Macaca fascicularis: one gene and its partners. The protein of the gene in region 1 interacts with the protein of each later gene in a pairwise test. Links are inferred from orthologs where the notes say so. Each region holds a gene or a part of one and is shown in the gene's direction. Other genes may lie near its edges. The genes, in order: PIH1D2, EIF4A2 and IGF2BP3.

Region 1 (4,862 bases):
TAATTATCTATTGTATTCATCATTTTATTTCCTACTTTGTACAAAAGCTTTCAAAGACTAGATGACAAGAATATTCTTTGTATCTCCCAGTTGTGCCAAAATAATGCTTGGCACACTGCTTACTTTCAGTAAGCACTGAGGAGTAACTAGGTTGTACCTCCCACCTTATTGTGAGCATCTGTGTGCCGGATGACATTCCTCAGGAGAACTTTCCCCAGTGGAATCCGGGACATTCTTCAATCTGAAATGAATCAACAAATAACGTTTAGTAATAATTTATTTTATTACTTTATCTTTTCTTAAATTTTATAAAGAAGCATGAGGTAAAGGAAAGATCACTGAACTAGAAGTCAAAGATCCTAAATAATAGTTTTCCCTTTACCATTAAAAGAGGGAAATGCCTAAACACACTAATGTGAGATGAAAGGAGATAATGTACATTAAAGTTCTTTGAAAATGCACAAGACTGCATAAAATTAAGTGCTTTCATGAGCACCATTTTATTTAATCCTCATAACTATTTTTTATATGAGGCAAATATCTCCATCCCTATTTTGTAGATGAAGTTCCCTTAAACTTGTCATGCCCCAAGCCACATAGTCCCAGGCAAATGATGTATATCAATGTCTAGATTAAAAATCAAACCTCCAATCCCAATATTAGTTTGCAGTGAAGCAAATACGTAGATTTGAGAGTATCAGGAACCACAGGTGTCAACAGTAACAGAAACTGATGACTCAAAACATCAAATGCAAAGATGTCCTAAACTTCTCCATTTGGGAGCATTTTATTTCCTACTTGGTACGGAAGCTTCCAAAAACTAGATGACAAGAATATTTTCGTGTGTAGCTAGCACGGGCTTTGTGCAACCACCCCAACGCTCACTCACCCCTTGATCCTGAGGAAATCAGGCATCTTGTTAGTGAGACGAAGAACCACTCCATTACAAGATCTCCTCCGACCCAGGAAGCCAAGGAGTCAGGGCTCAAAGGCAGCTCTGCAGCTTCACCCGAGTCCTTCGTGAAAACGCAGCCTTCCCACTGGTTAATCTGCCCTCACCTGTGGCCCAGGCCACTGCCGCCTTTCCCCCAGCCCAGATCGACAGGCAGATCTCTCTCGCGGACTGAGGCCGGAGACTGAGCCGGCGCGGAATTCGGACAGCCCGGTTGACCCGGGCATTCCCCCCTCACGCTCCTCTGGGACGAACCCCGGGGGTAAGTTTCACTCCCCAGAAAGGATGGGAACGCTTTGGATGGCTATGGCCTTCGGTTGGGCGCCAGGAAGTATCTAGGGGGCCTGAAGCGGGGGTTGAGGTTTCCAAGTGGAAGACAGAGGAAATATCCCCATCTTTGTCACCGGGATCCCTGTCCCCCAGCGGCCTCGGAGCTCCCGGTAACCTCCCCTCCAAACGCCCTCCCCACACAAATACACACAAACACACCCATACCGTGCGCCGCTGCCTCGCGTGGCGGGGGGTAGGGGGGAAGAAGCGGTTTGGGAGAAAAAGGAGGAGACTTCCTTCTCAGGCCGGAAGTGGTGCTCCTGAGAAATAGTCCCACCAACAGGCAGCCCAGAGACTCCCAGAAGGGAGGGTTTTCAGGACACTCCAGAGGTTGACGGGTGCAGAAGGGAGGCGGGCGCTTTCCTGGAAGAGAAGTGGATCGGGCCCAACTGAAAAGCAAGCCTGGTACCAGAAGGGGGACATTCCGGAACTAGATATGAGGAGACTTTTCTGCCTGAAACTCCCCGGACCCAATTAGATGTTGTACCCAGGCTGGTTACCCTGGTAACAGGCGTCGCGGTTTGTCAAGGAGCTGAGAGAAGAGGTGGGTTTGCCAGCCTATAGAATGACTACCCGTTAGAACAGAGAAGAGGTGGGTTTGCAGACCTATGGAATGATTACCCGTTAGTTAAGCTTCCCATTTAGCGTAACCCTTACACAGTAGTTGAAGAATCTAAACCTTTTTGCCTCGTTCTAAAGATGCTGTGGGACACCTCTCCAATGGGAGAAGAGGCTCTGAAGACGTAGAGAAGTGTCCCAGCCTCTCTATTAGCTTCCTTAATCCTCGCAATAACCCTATGATAATATAGGTATTATCGTCTTCATTTTGAACAGAGTAAGAGGAATATATATATATGTATATGTATGTGTATGTGTATACACACACACACACACACACACACACACACACACACACACACACATTAATTGCTCAAGGTCATACAGCTAGTGAGAGATAGAACTAAGACCGGAATCTAGGCATTCTGGCTCGCAAGTCCATGCTTTGAATTACTAAACTATAATGAGGATTAAGGAAGTCTCATGTGGCCCTCACCCCATACACACCTCTGGCAATTTCAGAACTGGGGAGCCACCAGTCAGTGAGGTGTTGGAACAAGAAGATCAGGAAACCCAGATTTAAAATGATTGCTCTGACTTGTCAGGGTCCAAGTAGAAGTAAAGTCTTATCTGAGAGGACAATGTGAGAATTTAGGAAGAGGTACTAGATAATTAAAGAATAAGGAAAACATAAAGTGGTGCTGCTGATCCACAATCTTTTAGACACAAATGCTAAGTCCTAACTTCACCAAAACAATTCCTGGCCCATTCCGCCTCCCCAAAGCAGAAATGAATCAACAATTACACAGGGCCGGGCGTGGTGGCTCAAGCCTGTAATCCCAGCACTTTGGGAGGCCGAGACGGGCGGATCACAAGGTCAGGAGATCCAGACCATCCTGGCTAACACGGGGAAACCCCGTCTCTACTGAAAAATACAAAAAACTAGCCGGGCGAGGCGGCGGGCGCCTGTAGTCCCAGCTACTTGGGAGGCTGAGGCAGGAGAATGGCATAAACCCGGGAGGCGGAGCTTGCAGTGAGCTGAGATCCGGCCACTGCACTCCAGCCTGGGCGGCAGAGCGAGACTCCGTCTCAAAAAAAAAAAAAAAAAAAAAAAAAAAAAAAAATTACACAGACAGTTTTCTTCCCAAAGTCATGTCTTTCCACAGGCTTAAGAAAATTATTCACCACTCATCAGTCATGGAGACATCCTCAAAGGGTCTGCTCACCCAAGTTACTCAATTTTGGAACCTCCTAGATGATCTAGCTGAAAGTGACCCTGAGGGCTATGAGAAGTTTATTCAACAGCAGCTGAAAGAAGGGAAACAGCTCTGTGCTGACCCACAACCACAGCTTTGTCTACAGACCAGGATTCTGGTATGTCGAGTTGGTGCCAGGGATGGGGAGGTCTTGAATAAAATGATCCCAGAGTAACCACAGAATACTTTGCACTTAGGCATTGCTTTTTTTTTTTTTTTTTTTTTTGAGACAGAGTTTTGCTCTGTCACCCAGGCTGGAGTGCAATGGCATGGTCTTGGCTCACTGCAACCTCCGCCTCCTGGGTTCAAGCGATTCTCCTGCCTCAGGCTCCCAAGTAGCTGGGATTACAGGTGTGCACTACCATGCCTGGCTAATTTTTGTATTATTAGTAAAGACAGGGTTTCACCATGTTGGCCAGGCTGGTCTTGAACTCCTGACCTCAGGTGATCTACCCGCCTCAGCCTCCCAAAGTGCTGTGATTATAGGCATGAGCCACCGCGCCCAGCGGACTTTTTTTTTTTTTTTTTTTTTTTTTTTTGAGATAGGGTTTTGCTGTCGCTGAAGCTGGAGTGCAGTGGCACAATCACAGCTCACAATCACAGTTCATTGCAGCCCAAACGATCCTTCCACCTCAGCCTCCCAAGTAGCTGGGATCACAGGTGGGCACCACCACACCTGGCTAATTTTTAAATTATTTTTGTAGAGACAGGATCTCCCTATGTTTCCCAGGCTAGTCTCGAACTCCTAGGCCTCAAGCGACCCTCCTACCTCGGCCTCTCAAAGTACTAGGGTAACATACGTGAGCCACCACCCTGGTCTGGTTTCCTGATTAAAAGCCAGCAACCTTGGGGAAATCAAGTAACAACAGTATAATCAAACACAATTTTAATACCTAGGCTGCAGTGCAATGGCACAATCTTGGCTCACTGCAATCTCTGCCTCCTGGGTTCAAGCGATTCTCCTGCCTCAGCCTCCTGAGTAGCTGGGATTATCTGCCACCACACCTGGCGGACTTTTGTATTTTTAGTAGAAATGGGGTTTCACCATGTTGGCCAGGCTGGTCTCAAATTCCTGACCTCAGGTGATCCAGGCACCTCGGCCCCCACAAAGTGCTGGGATTACAGGCATGAGCCACCATGCCTGGCCTTAAATGGTTTTAAACTAGGTTTTGAGATGTGCAAAATTATTTGCTTTCCAGAAACCAAAAGAAAAAATACTTTTTATCAACCTGTGTCAGTGGACAAGGATCCCACCTCCCCAATCAGCCACTCATCCAGTACCTCTAACTGTTGGCAAACCAGAAGATACAACTGAGACATCAGGTACAAATAATTAAGGGAGAGAAAGCACATTGTACAAATTTTATTAGGAATGGACAAGATTTTACTTGGTTGAGAGCATTTCAAGTAAAATTCTTTATTTGGTGATAACAGAATTACAATTAGTGTACCTTTATGCAAATTTAATAGTTTAACTTTTGTAATAAGATGCGGTTTTAATCCATGTAAAAGTGCCAGGAAATGTCATAATTGCTGTAGCACTACTGTGATTACCTCTGAAAAATACAGGAATATTCTCTAGCTTTATCAGGAATATGGTTTAATATATTGCCTGACAGTATCATTAGTGCAACAATTTATCTTCATTTCATACCCTTTCATTTACACACACAGATGCTTACACGGTCATTGATGTTGCCTACAATCCTGATGTTCTTCAGGCAGCAGAAAAGAACCAAGTGGAAAAAAATCAGTTAATTCAGATG
Region 2 (4,728 bases), on another chromosome or scaffold:
TTAAGTGTTAATTGTTGATTGGTATCACCCTGTGACCAACTGTTTTCACCCAAGTGAAACCAAACGGTTGGTCACTTTTTTGATTTAGTATATTTTTCAATTTCTTAGATCTCAGGATAGTTTTAGTATATTTTGGATGAGACAACAAGGATCTCTGACAAACATCATTCTCAGAAAATGTCTGGCATCACCTCAAATATGGCTTTCGAACATTACAGAGGAATGAATGAGGAGCAGTACCAATAGACTGAGGGCCAGGCCCACTTTGCCATTTTGGTATTCTTCATCTTTGTCCCAATTCCTGGCACGATAAGAATTTTCAAATGAATAAATAATTTTCGTATTAAAATAGTATTTAGAACCAAATATCTTCAATAATACAGAAAATTGAGTCAGCTTTCCCAGTAATGATTCTTTAAGTTGGCCTTCTGAAATATGATAAAATGTTTCCAGATATTCTCGATATTTTGCACCATGGGTAGGGTTGTATTTTAAAGTTAAATGACTACATATATTGTTTTTTTGTTGCTGTGAAGGGACCTGAGATGGGGCTAATTGAAAACATCTGGAGCTTAAAGACTCGTGCAGTTTACGCAGCAAGGATATTATTGCTCTGAATTTCAATAAATCAACATTTCACTATATATCGGTAAAGCTCAAAGCCCTTAAAAAATGACCAATGTAGACGGAATCAACACCGATGTAGTCCCAAAGCGGCACAGAGCTGTATCTGCCAAAGCGTCCATTTAAATTCGTGCGTTCCACGGAAAATTACTGCTCCTTAGCTTCTATCCATTTGCAAAAGTTTATGATTTTTTTCAGGCATTCCTCACACCTGTTAGGTTAAAATCATTAACACTCTTTTAAAAAGAAAGCGAGAGACCGGAAACGATATGAGAATAGAATTGGCTACTCCAGAGACATCTGCAAATGACACTCCATTTTTTTTTCTCGCTGCAAAATGTACCGGTAAACCAAACTTTCCGGGACTCGCTGGGTGGCCGACATTTTCCCTAGCAGGAATTTTACGTTTCCAAGATCTGAATGGATGTTAATGGTCGGGCTAAATGCCAGGCAGGTCTTCACTGTCAAATTAAACAGCGGTGGGAGCAAGTGGAATAACCGAGTTCCCCTCCCGCACCTGAGCGCCGGCAGCGAGCCGCGAGTCGGGACCCCTCGCACGCGGGAAGACCCAGACGCCCAGCGGGCAGCGTCTCCGGCTTCCGCCTCCGGCTCCGGCTCCGGCTCCACTCCCCCGGCCCGCCTCTGCGTCAGGGACGCGGAAACCCCGTAGGAGCAGGGCGGGCGGGGAAAGTGGTGTTTGACTAACGCCGCAGCGATATTCTTCCGCCGCGAGGTAAAGAATCCCAACCCAACCCCGGGCCCTAGGATTTCCAGCGACCCTATAATATCGAGAAATTACCACATTTGGATTTTCCAACCGTCTTGCTTAGGATTTTATCCGACGTAACGACCCCAGGATCACAATTTTGTGGCTGACCGAAGCACGGCGAGAAAATTCCTCCGCAAGAAACGGGTTCCGGCCACGAGCCTATAAAAAACGGGTGGCGGGGCTCTGCTGTCTTTTCAGTCGGGCGCTGAGTGGTTTTTCGGATCATGTCTGGTGGCTCCGCGGATTATAACAGGTATGGCGCGCTGTTGGCGGTCGCGGTCTGTAGTGAAGGTCGTAGGGCGCCAGGAGAGATTATAGTGGATGGCATGGAGGCAAAAACTCCAACTTAGTGCACGTTTCCTTAGGGTACAGCACCCCTGTGCCCTTCCAGAAGCTTCCATGATGGGTAGGGCCCGGATTGTGGGGAGACAGGACGATGGTGCGAAAGCAGCGGCTAAAGGGCGTTTCTCCTCCCTAAGACATTAGGAATTTTGGCTGCTTCCCCTCCCAGTGTAGAGCACGGGAAACATGCAGTAAACAGCCGTGGCGCAGTCCGCGTTCGGTACAGTGTAACCAGGACCCGAAGCTTTATTTTTGGTCAACCACAGGAGTTGGGGGTCCTTGGCTTCAGTTGGGGAAGGGTTGGAGGCAGCGGTCTCCACTCGGCCACGGCGCGGAGGCGATGGGACCGGACCGGCACGGGTGCCGGCGAACCGTTGGCATCGCTCTCGCCAGGCCGCTCCGCCCGCGTCAATCACCCGGCTTGCGCATTGTTGGGGGCGGAGCTCGTCGCCCCGAGCTCTCGCGAGACGCTCCGCCGCCGAAACGGGATCCCCATGCGCTGGGGCCTGGGGGGCTGCCTTTCCGGACGTCCGCGGCCCCCAACCTTTAGGGAAGGCGCGCAGTGTGATATTCGTCCTGCAGCTGCTGCTTTAACTTGTGCAGGGGAGGCTAATGTGCTGAGACGGGTTGCAAAGGGCTATCCCTTTAAGATGCAGTTAAGGTGGCTTGGAAGGGATGTCTGACTGCAGTATTCTTGTCAGCAGAGAACATGGCGGCCCAGAGGGAATGGACCCCGATGGTGTCATCGAGGTAAGAAACGGTTGTGGATGTTGAAGCTTTGAAAAGGTGAATGTGTTCATCTCATTCATGCGTGCATTATTTTTTCTAACTTACAGAGCAACTGGAATGAGATTGTTGATAACTTTGATGATATGAATTTAAAGGAGTCTCTTCTTCGTGGCATCTATGCTTACGGTTTTGAGAAGCCTTCCGCTATTCAGCAGAGAGCTATTATTCCCTGTATTAAAGGTAAAAGAAACTGGAATTTTTAGGAAATGACTTTATTCTACATAGTCATGGACCGTAAAAGGGAAAGTAACCTCTGGGGGACTAGCACCTGTTTGTATTCCTTAAAGTGAAATGATGGCAATCATCTTTCGGGACTGACCTGAAATGAAGAGAATACTCATTGCTGATCACTTATTATTTGGGCATAATTCATGTTCCAAATGGAATACATGGTGTAAAGTAGAAGTGACAATTTGATGTGGGATCGGTAAATATGTATCCTACTTTTTTTAGGGTATGATGTGATTGCTCAAGCTCAGTCAGGTACTGGCAAGACAGCCACATTTGCTATTTCCATCCTGCAACAGTTGGAGATTGAGTTCAAGGAGACCCAAGCACTAGTATTGGCCCCCACCAGAGAACTGGCTCAACAGGTATTGATAGTGTAGTTCAAAAAAACTGCTTGCGTGTTGCATAGGTTTCAGGTTTCACAACTGTGAAGAATTTAAAACTTAGTATAAATTGGTCCTACCAGATCCTTCCTTTTAATTGTCCATGCATGCAGGGAGTTTTTGTTGAAAGCTTTAAAAGAACTGGGTATGCAGGTATGGTTTGTAGGGTTGTATACTAATAGATTGAGAATCCGAAACACTCTCTTGGATGTACTAGATCTGTCCCCATTTTTTAAGTTTGAATGCAGTTGTGCAACATGAAAACTGCAGTGACATGTTACCATTTGACTGTCTCCGTAGTTTGTGATGCATCTGTTGCATGCTATGTTTTCAAAGCTCACTGCTATATTGGCTTTGAAGTAAACCTTCCTAATAAAGCTGGAGGCTTTATTGAGGTCAAGATTATATAAAGCACAATACCCTCTGGGGGAAAAAAATTATTTGCCCTAGCTGTAATTACAGAACATATATTTCACTATGTACTCCCTACACACAGTGAAGAATAATGTAGGAAATGTTATTCTTGAATTGTCTAGCTGATGCGTGGGGCAGCAGCATCCCAAGTTTGACAAGGCAGAAGAAAGACATTAAGGGAGTTTTACCTTGAAGCAGTTAGGTCAGTCTGCGTTTTAAGCTTGGAAGTAGTTTCGTGCTGTGCATGCATAAAAGCTGTTGGCAGACCAGTTTAAATTTGCCATTATGCTTTAAAAAGTAGTCATTGATCCTGGAGTTCTTCAGGATAATAATTAAGGCTTGGTTTTTAGATCCAAAAGGTAATTCTGGCACTTGGAGACTATATGGGAGCAACTTGTCATGCCTGCATTGGTGGAACAAATGTTCGAAATGAAATGCAAAAACTGCAGGCCGAAGCACCACATATTGTTGTTGGTACACCTGGGAGAGTTTTTGATATGTTAAACAGAAGATATCTTTGTAAGTATTGTCTTTAAAAGAGTTTTTTTTTTTTTTTTTACTGTTACAGTTGAAAAGTCATCATATTACTGAGTAGATCTAGAAGTGACAGTATGACTTTGTTTCTAACAGCTCCAAAATGGATCAAAATGTTTGTTTTGGATGAAGCAGATGAAATGTTGAGCCGTGGGTTTAAGGATCAAATCTATGAGATTTTCCAAAAACTAAACACAAGTATTCAGGTAAGCATTACTTCACTCCCCTCTTAAAGGTACAGATGGGGTTTAATGCAGGTACTGTTACAATACAACTGACGTGTTTTATTGTCGTTCCCCCTGCTTAAAGCACTTGATGCATAACTATCTCTGTCTAACTCCATTCTGTAGTGAGACAGAGACGCTTGGCTTCAAACATTTTCTCTTGGGTATTACTGTGTAAGTTGTTCTACAACATAATTTTCTCTTTTCAAGGTTGTGTTGCTTTCTGCCACAATGCCAACTGATGTGTTGGAAGTGACCAAAAAATTCATGAGAGATCCAATTCGAATTCTGGTGAAAAAGGAAGAATTGACCCTTGAAGGAATCAAACAGTTTTATATTAATGTTGAGAGAGAGGTAACTGATTGTTAGACATTATTTTACCTTCTTGTATAAGCACTGTGCTAAAATTGCAGACACTAGG
Region 3 (4,728 bases), on another chromosome or scaffold:
CTACCAGTAAGAGTACCAAGTCATTAAAGATTCTTGTCTATATTTTCATGTTATATAGAATTTATTTCACTTAAAAAATTAGCATTTTATATCTTTTCCATAGAATACCTGTTAAAAATATACCTGTTAAAAACACAACTATCTAGTGCAAATGAAAGCTTTGAGTGGAGTACACAATCATTAAACGACACTTGGAGATTTCCACTAGAACCCCAGCACTGCCTTCGTTTCCGTATTGCTCGTCTCCAGTTCACATTGTGTTGGCCCACAAAGGCTCCACCGGGCCCAAATCCTCCCCCGACAACCACCATTGTGCTCATTACATATAGAGAAAATTATGTATGGCTCTCATGACCAAATGTAGGCAGAAAAGAGGCAGAAAGAGGCTCGAACAGTTTTTCAAATACGAATCCCACCTAGGGGTAACGCAGGACGGTCTTCCAATTTTAAGTCTCAAGTTCTCCAACTAAAATTAATTAAATAAAAGTACCAGCCTGCTCCACTCCTCCCCCTTTAAAAACTACAGGAAGAGAGGATTTCCCTTTAAGTACCGACTTCTCCCACTTTGACTTCTCTCCTCCAGCGGCCCAGGTCCCCGACGACCCCAGCCCCTAGCTAGAAACCTCCGCCCCTGCACTCCCCTCCCCCACCAGTGGCCAAGCCCGCCCCCGGCCTCATTTATCCTGGAGCCTTTTCTGAATCGCGCAACCAATGGCAAACGCGAAGCCGAGAGCCACCGCGAGCGCAGGCGGAGGCGGAGGAGGTGTCGCCCAGACACCCGCCCAGGACGCTGCGGGCTCCCATCCCCCACCGCCCCGGGCCCGGGCCGCCCCCACTCGCGGGGTGCCCGGGGCCCGAGAAGGGCGCACAGGGTGGGGTGCGTCGCCCGCCTGTCTTGCCACTACCCCTTGCCCCCTTCACCCAGTCCCCCACCCCTCCTCGCATCGTTTCCGTCCCTGCCAGCCTTAGAAACGTGCCTGCGGCTTTGCTGGGGTTACACTTCTAATGCCATTAAAGCCACCAGGCGAGTTCGAGATTGTGACTCTGGTTTTGTTGTTAATAACCTATTTTGAAAAATCGAATGATTAAAACTACGGTAACTAAAGCTGAGGAATTGCCTGTTAGTACCTCTACCCATTTCCTCATTAAAAAAAAAAAAAAAAAATCAATATTCCAGCCCTCCCTCCCAGGATCCGCCCAGACCAGATAACCCTTTCCAAACTCGAGTTGTGACCGTCAGCGCCCCGCGCCGCGCTCCCCTCGGTGCCGGCTGCGGTTCCTTTAGCATTTTCCCTCTTCCTCCTCCGCCTTCTCAGGGTCCCTCTCCCAATCTCGTTTCCCCTCCCCCTCTTCCTCTCGCTCGCTTTTTTTTTTTTCTCTGAAACCCACTCTAATTGAGGCTCTGGGATTCCTCACGTGAGACGTTGATTTGTAGTTTGAACACGTGGCTCATTCAAAAAGCCGGACACTCGGAGCGGATTTTTTCCGCCTCCTGCGCCTTCATCCCTCCTCCTCCTCCTCTCCCCTCCCTCCTGCCAGTCACCCTTCTGGGTTTTTTATGGGGAGGCGGCGCCTGCCTCACGTAGTGTGATATTTTCACAGTCCGCTGGCCGAAGCCAAAGGGGTTGGGGAGGAAGAGACAAAAAGTAGTTTTTTCCCCTCCTCCTCCTCCTTTCTCTTGCTAATCCCGCCTCCTTCTCAGACTTAGGAAGACTGGTGGATGCGTTTGGGTTGTAGCTAGGCTTTTTCTTTTCTTTCTCTTTTAAAACATATCTAGACAAGGAAAAACAAGCCTCGGATCTGATTTTTCGCTCCTCATTCTTGTGCTTGGTTCTTACTGTGTTTGTGTATTTTAAAGGCGAGAAGACGAGGGGAACAAAACCAGCTGGATCCATCCATCACCGTGGGTGGTTTTAATTTTTCGTTTTTCTCGTTAATTTTTTTTTTAAACAACCACTCTTCACAATGAACAAACTGTATATCGGAAACCTCAGCGACAACGCCGCCCCCTCGGACCTAGAAAGTATCTTCAAGGACGCCAAGATCCCGGTGTCGGGACCCTTCCTGGTGAAGACTGGCTACGCGTTCGTGGACTGCCCGGACGAGAGCTGGGCCCTCAAGGCCATCGAGGCGCTTTCAGGTGGGCCCGGGCCTGGCCCCACCCGGGCTCTCGCCCCAGCCCTGCACCGCCCGCCCAGACCCACCGGGGTGGTTCCGCGGGCCCCAGGCCCGGCGCGCTGGGGGAGCGGGGGTGAGGCCTCAGCGCCCACACCCACGCGCGTGGGGGCCGGGGCTCTCCTCAGCTTCGGCTCCCACTCCAGCCCGCGGCTCTGCTTCCCCGGCCGGGGTTTGTTGGGTGAGGGCGGACGCGCTGTCAAGAAAGCCCCGGCGCTGGCTAAGGGGGGCGCGGGGCTGGGGGAGGCGCGCTCCCCCGGCGCCCCGCCCGGGCCCAGGCGCGTGCTCCAGGCCCCGGCACGCTGGGCCTCGGGGGCCGAGCTAGAATGCCCGCCTGTGTCTCATTCCTTCCTGCTTTCCTCGGTCGTTATTTACGGCGCTGTCTGTTCTGCGCCCCGAAACCCCGGCCGTGGAGAACGGAAAGTGGCCTCGACCTTGCTGCCGAGTGAGACCGCGGGGCTGGTGCCTCGCACAGGCGGCCCCGCGCTTCCTCCCCACCCTGCGGGAGGAGAGAGTGTGCCCGGTTTCCCCGTTCCACCTCCCCCGGTCCGACGAGCGATAGGGGCAGGTGGGCGGGGGCGGCTGGTCGCCTGGAAGGGAGTCGCCGCCACGCACCGGGCCGCCCGCCGCTCTCCGGGCCCTGGCGCGGGGCTGCGGCCTCCGGGTATGGCTCCGCCAGGGCGAGGGACGGTGCCGGGCGGGGCGGGACGCCCGGGGGAAGGCTGTGCTGGGGTCCCCATGGGAGCCCCGTGCTTTTCGGCTTCCCTTTTAATCAACTCAGACGTGGTGCGGGCGCCTCGCAGTCCTTCGCTCTTGGTTCAGCCTGAGCCGAGCTGCGCCTCTGCCAGTTCTCCCGTTCTGGGTCTCCCCTGCCGTCCCCGACCCTTTCCCGCCACTCCCTGTCCTCCCCAAGCCCACTCCTAAGTGTTCCCGGCGGGTTGGGCTGAAGCAGAGGGCAGAGCCAGGGCGCCCCCTCCAGAAGAAAGCCAGGGGAGCCCCCTGCCCCGAGTCTGTCCTGTGGAGCGTGTCCAGGGCGGTGAGAGGATGGGCCGTGTCCCTCTTGGGGGCTTCGTGTTGGTGGCCCCCAGGGGTGGGTGGGGGAGGCTTTGGGGACTGGACTGATACCCAAGTAGTGGGCCCGTCAGCGGACCCTGCTCCTCAACCATCTGCGAGTTAAATGCCCACGCCGCCCGAGGGGGTCGGCTTCTCCCTCCGTCTGGAGCCGCGTCCGGGTCTCGGGGACCCTTCGGGGGCCTCAGGAGGCCATTTGTGTCGCCAGTTGGGCTGTGCGGGTCTTTCGGGCAGGGAGAGCCGCTGAACTCGGCCGACCGTCTCTCACTTCTTGTGTGTCCGCAGGTAAAATAGAACTGCACGGGAAACCCATAGAAGTTGAGCACTCGGTCCCAAAAAGGCAAAGGTGAGCTGCTGCTTCTGTTTCCCCCGATTCTGTTCTCACTCCGTTATTGGGTGGAGAGACTCAGCTGAGAACTTGTCCTTTGGTGCTTACCCGGCTGCGGTGTGGCGTGGTGTTCTGGTCTTTTCCCCTTGCTTTTAAGTTTATGGCGGGGGTGTGTGTGTGTGTGTTGATGATGCTGGGTAGGAATTGAAAGCTTGTCTGTGGCCTCTGCCGCGGGATTATGGTTATTGGTTACAAAATCTCTCGGAAGCTCACAGCTGAATGTCCTCGGTCACAGCGGGTCAAATTGCTCCTACGGGAAATGGGTCGCAACAAGCAGTTTCGGGGGGTACTCTGCAGGACTTGGGAAGCAGCGGATGATTCCCCTACCCCTCCAGGAGCAAGAAAGGCGAAACCAGCTGCGGACACGCGGGGGGCGCGCCTTTCTGTCCGGATTTGGGAGGCCGTGGGCGCGGCCGACTGGAGAGGAATTTGCCTCTGCCCTGTGAGCTCGCCAGGGGTATTGGAACGCGTGCGTAAACGCCGGGGCCTCTCCGGCCCAGAAGTGCCTTTGAGTCATTCCAAAGTTCTACAGGTTCTTGCAGTCAGCACCTTTGTCTCCCCGCTTTCCACCCTACTCCTCCTGGGTACATTTTTGCTTACAACCACCAAATGATGAAGACAGGAAGATTTTGTGCCACTTAAGGAGGGGGATTTCTCGTCTCCGAGATCATGTGTGTAGTATGTCCCTTTACAGAATGTTTGCAGGTTGTTTTAGCCTCTGAAGCATTTTGGAGACATGGCTCTTTCCCTTTTTCTTTTTCTTATGAAGCCTTTTGCAGCGACTCCTTTCCTTTCGCTAGAGCCGGCCAGATTCCGGCTCTATTTTTTTGTTTTGTTTTATTTTTTAAAACCTTCAGCCAACTCACACCATAGGTTCCGGCTCTAACTCCAGTTGGAAAGGCACTGCTGCCTCCCAGTCGCACCGGGGTGGGCCTCTAAGCCTTTCTGGGTTTTGCAAGATGGGGTTAGGGTTTCTGCCTGCCCCTCTCCCATCCCCCCAACTCCCAACCTGAGCCAAACAATAAGCTGAAAGTTAATTTAAATCAGGACTGCGTGTATCTGGTTAGATATTGGTGAGAGTGTGTGTGCTGGAG

Evidence for each region.
Region 2: the proteins of PIH1D2 (region 1) and EIF4A2 interact in binary tests that used the Homo sapiens proteins (3 or more experiments, as listed by UniProt). The two-hybrid records come from large-scale screens. The link is inferred for Macaca fascicularis from reciprocal best matches to the Homo sapiens genes PIH1D2 and EIF4A2.
Region 3: the proteins of PIH1D2 (region 1) and IGF2BP3 interact in a two-hybrid assay, tested with the Homo sapiens proteins (2 studies listed by BioGRID and IntAct). The two-hybrid records come from large-scale screens. The link is inferred for Macaca fascicularis from reciprocal best matches to the Homo sapiens genes PIH1D2 and IGF2BP3.

What each region holds. Positions count from the first base shown.
Region 1 is NC_088388.1:111,003,125-111,007,986, reverse strand, and holds the start of PIH1D2 (PIH1 domain-containing protein 2), read left to right. Parts: upstream 1-1,603; 5' UTR 1,604-1,826; exon of another isoform or gene 1,827-1,874; intron 1,875-3,006; 5' UTR 3,007-3,037; coding exon 3,038-3,214; intron 3,215-4,295; coding exon 4,296-4,419; intron 4,420-4,770; coding exon 4,771-4,862. Other genes in the region: uncharacterized protein NKAPD1, read right to left, coding at 165-233.
Region 2 is NC_088376.1:11,710,206-11,714,933, reverse strand, and holds the start of EIF4A2 (eukaryotic initiation factor 4A-II), read left to right. Parts: upstream 1-1,583; 5' UTR 1,584-1,617; coding exon 1,618-1,646; intron 1,647-2,436; coding exon 2,437-2,485; intron 2,486-2,571; coding exon 2,572-2,704; intron 2,705-2,808; exon of another isoform or gene 2,809-2,877; intron 2,878-2,977; coding exon 2,978-3,117; intron 3,118-3,899; coding exon 3,900-4,068; intron 4,069-4,179; coding exon 4,180-4,289; intron 4,290-4,334; exon of another isoform or gene 4,335-4,461; intron 4,462-4,517; coding exon 4,518-4,661; intron 4,662-4,686; exon of another isoform or gene 4,687-4,728. UniProt on the Homo sapiens protein: ATP-dependent RNA helicase which is a subunit of the eIF4F complex involved in cap recognition and is required for mRNA binding to ribosome.
Region 3 is NC_088377.1:106,804,360-106,809,087, forward strand, and holds the start of IGF2BP3 (insulin-like growth factor 2 mRNA-binding protein 3), read left to right. Parts: upstream 1-1,584; 5' UTR 1,585-1,965; coding exon 1,966-2,140; intron 2,141-3,531; coding exon 3,532-3,592; intron 3,593-4,728. UniProt on the Homo sapiens protein: RNA-binding factor that may recruit target transcripts to cytoplasmic protein-RNA complexes (mRNPs). This transcript 'caging' into mRNPs allows mRNA transport and transient storage.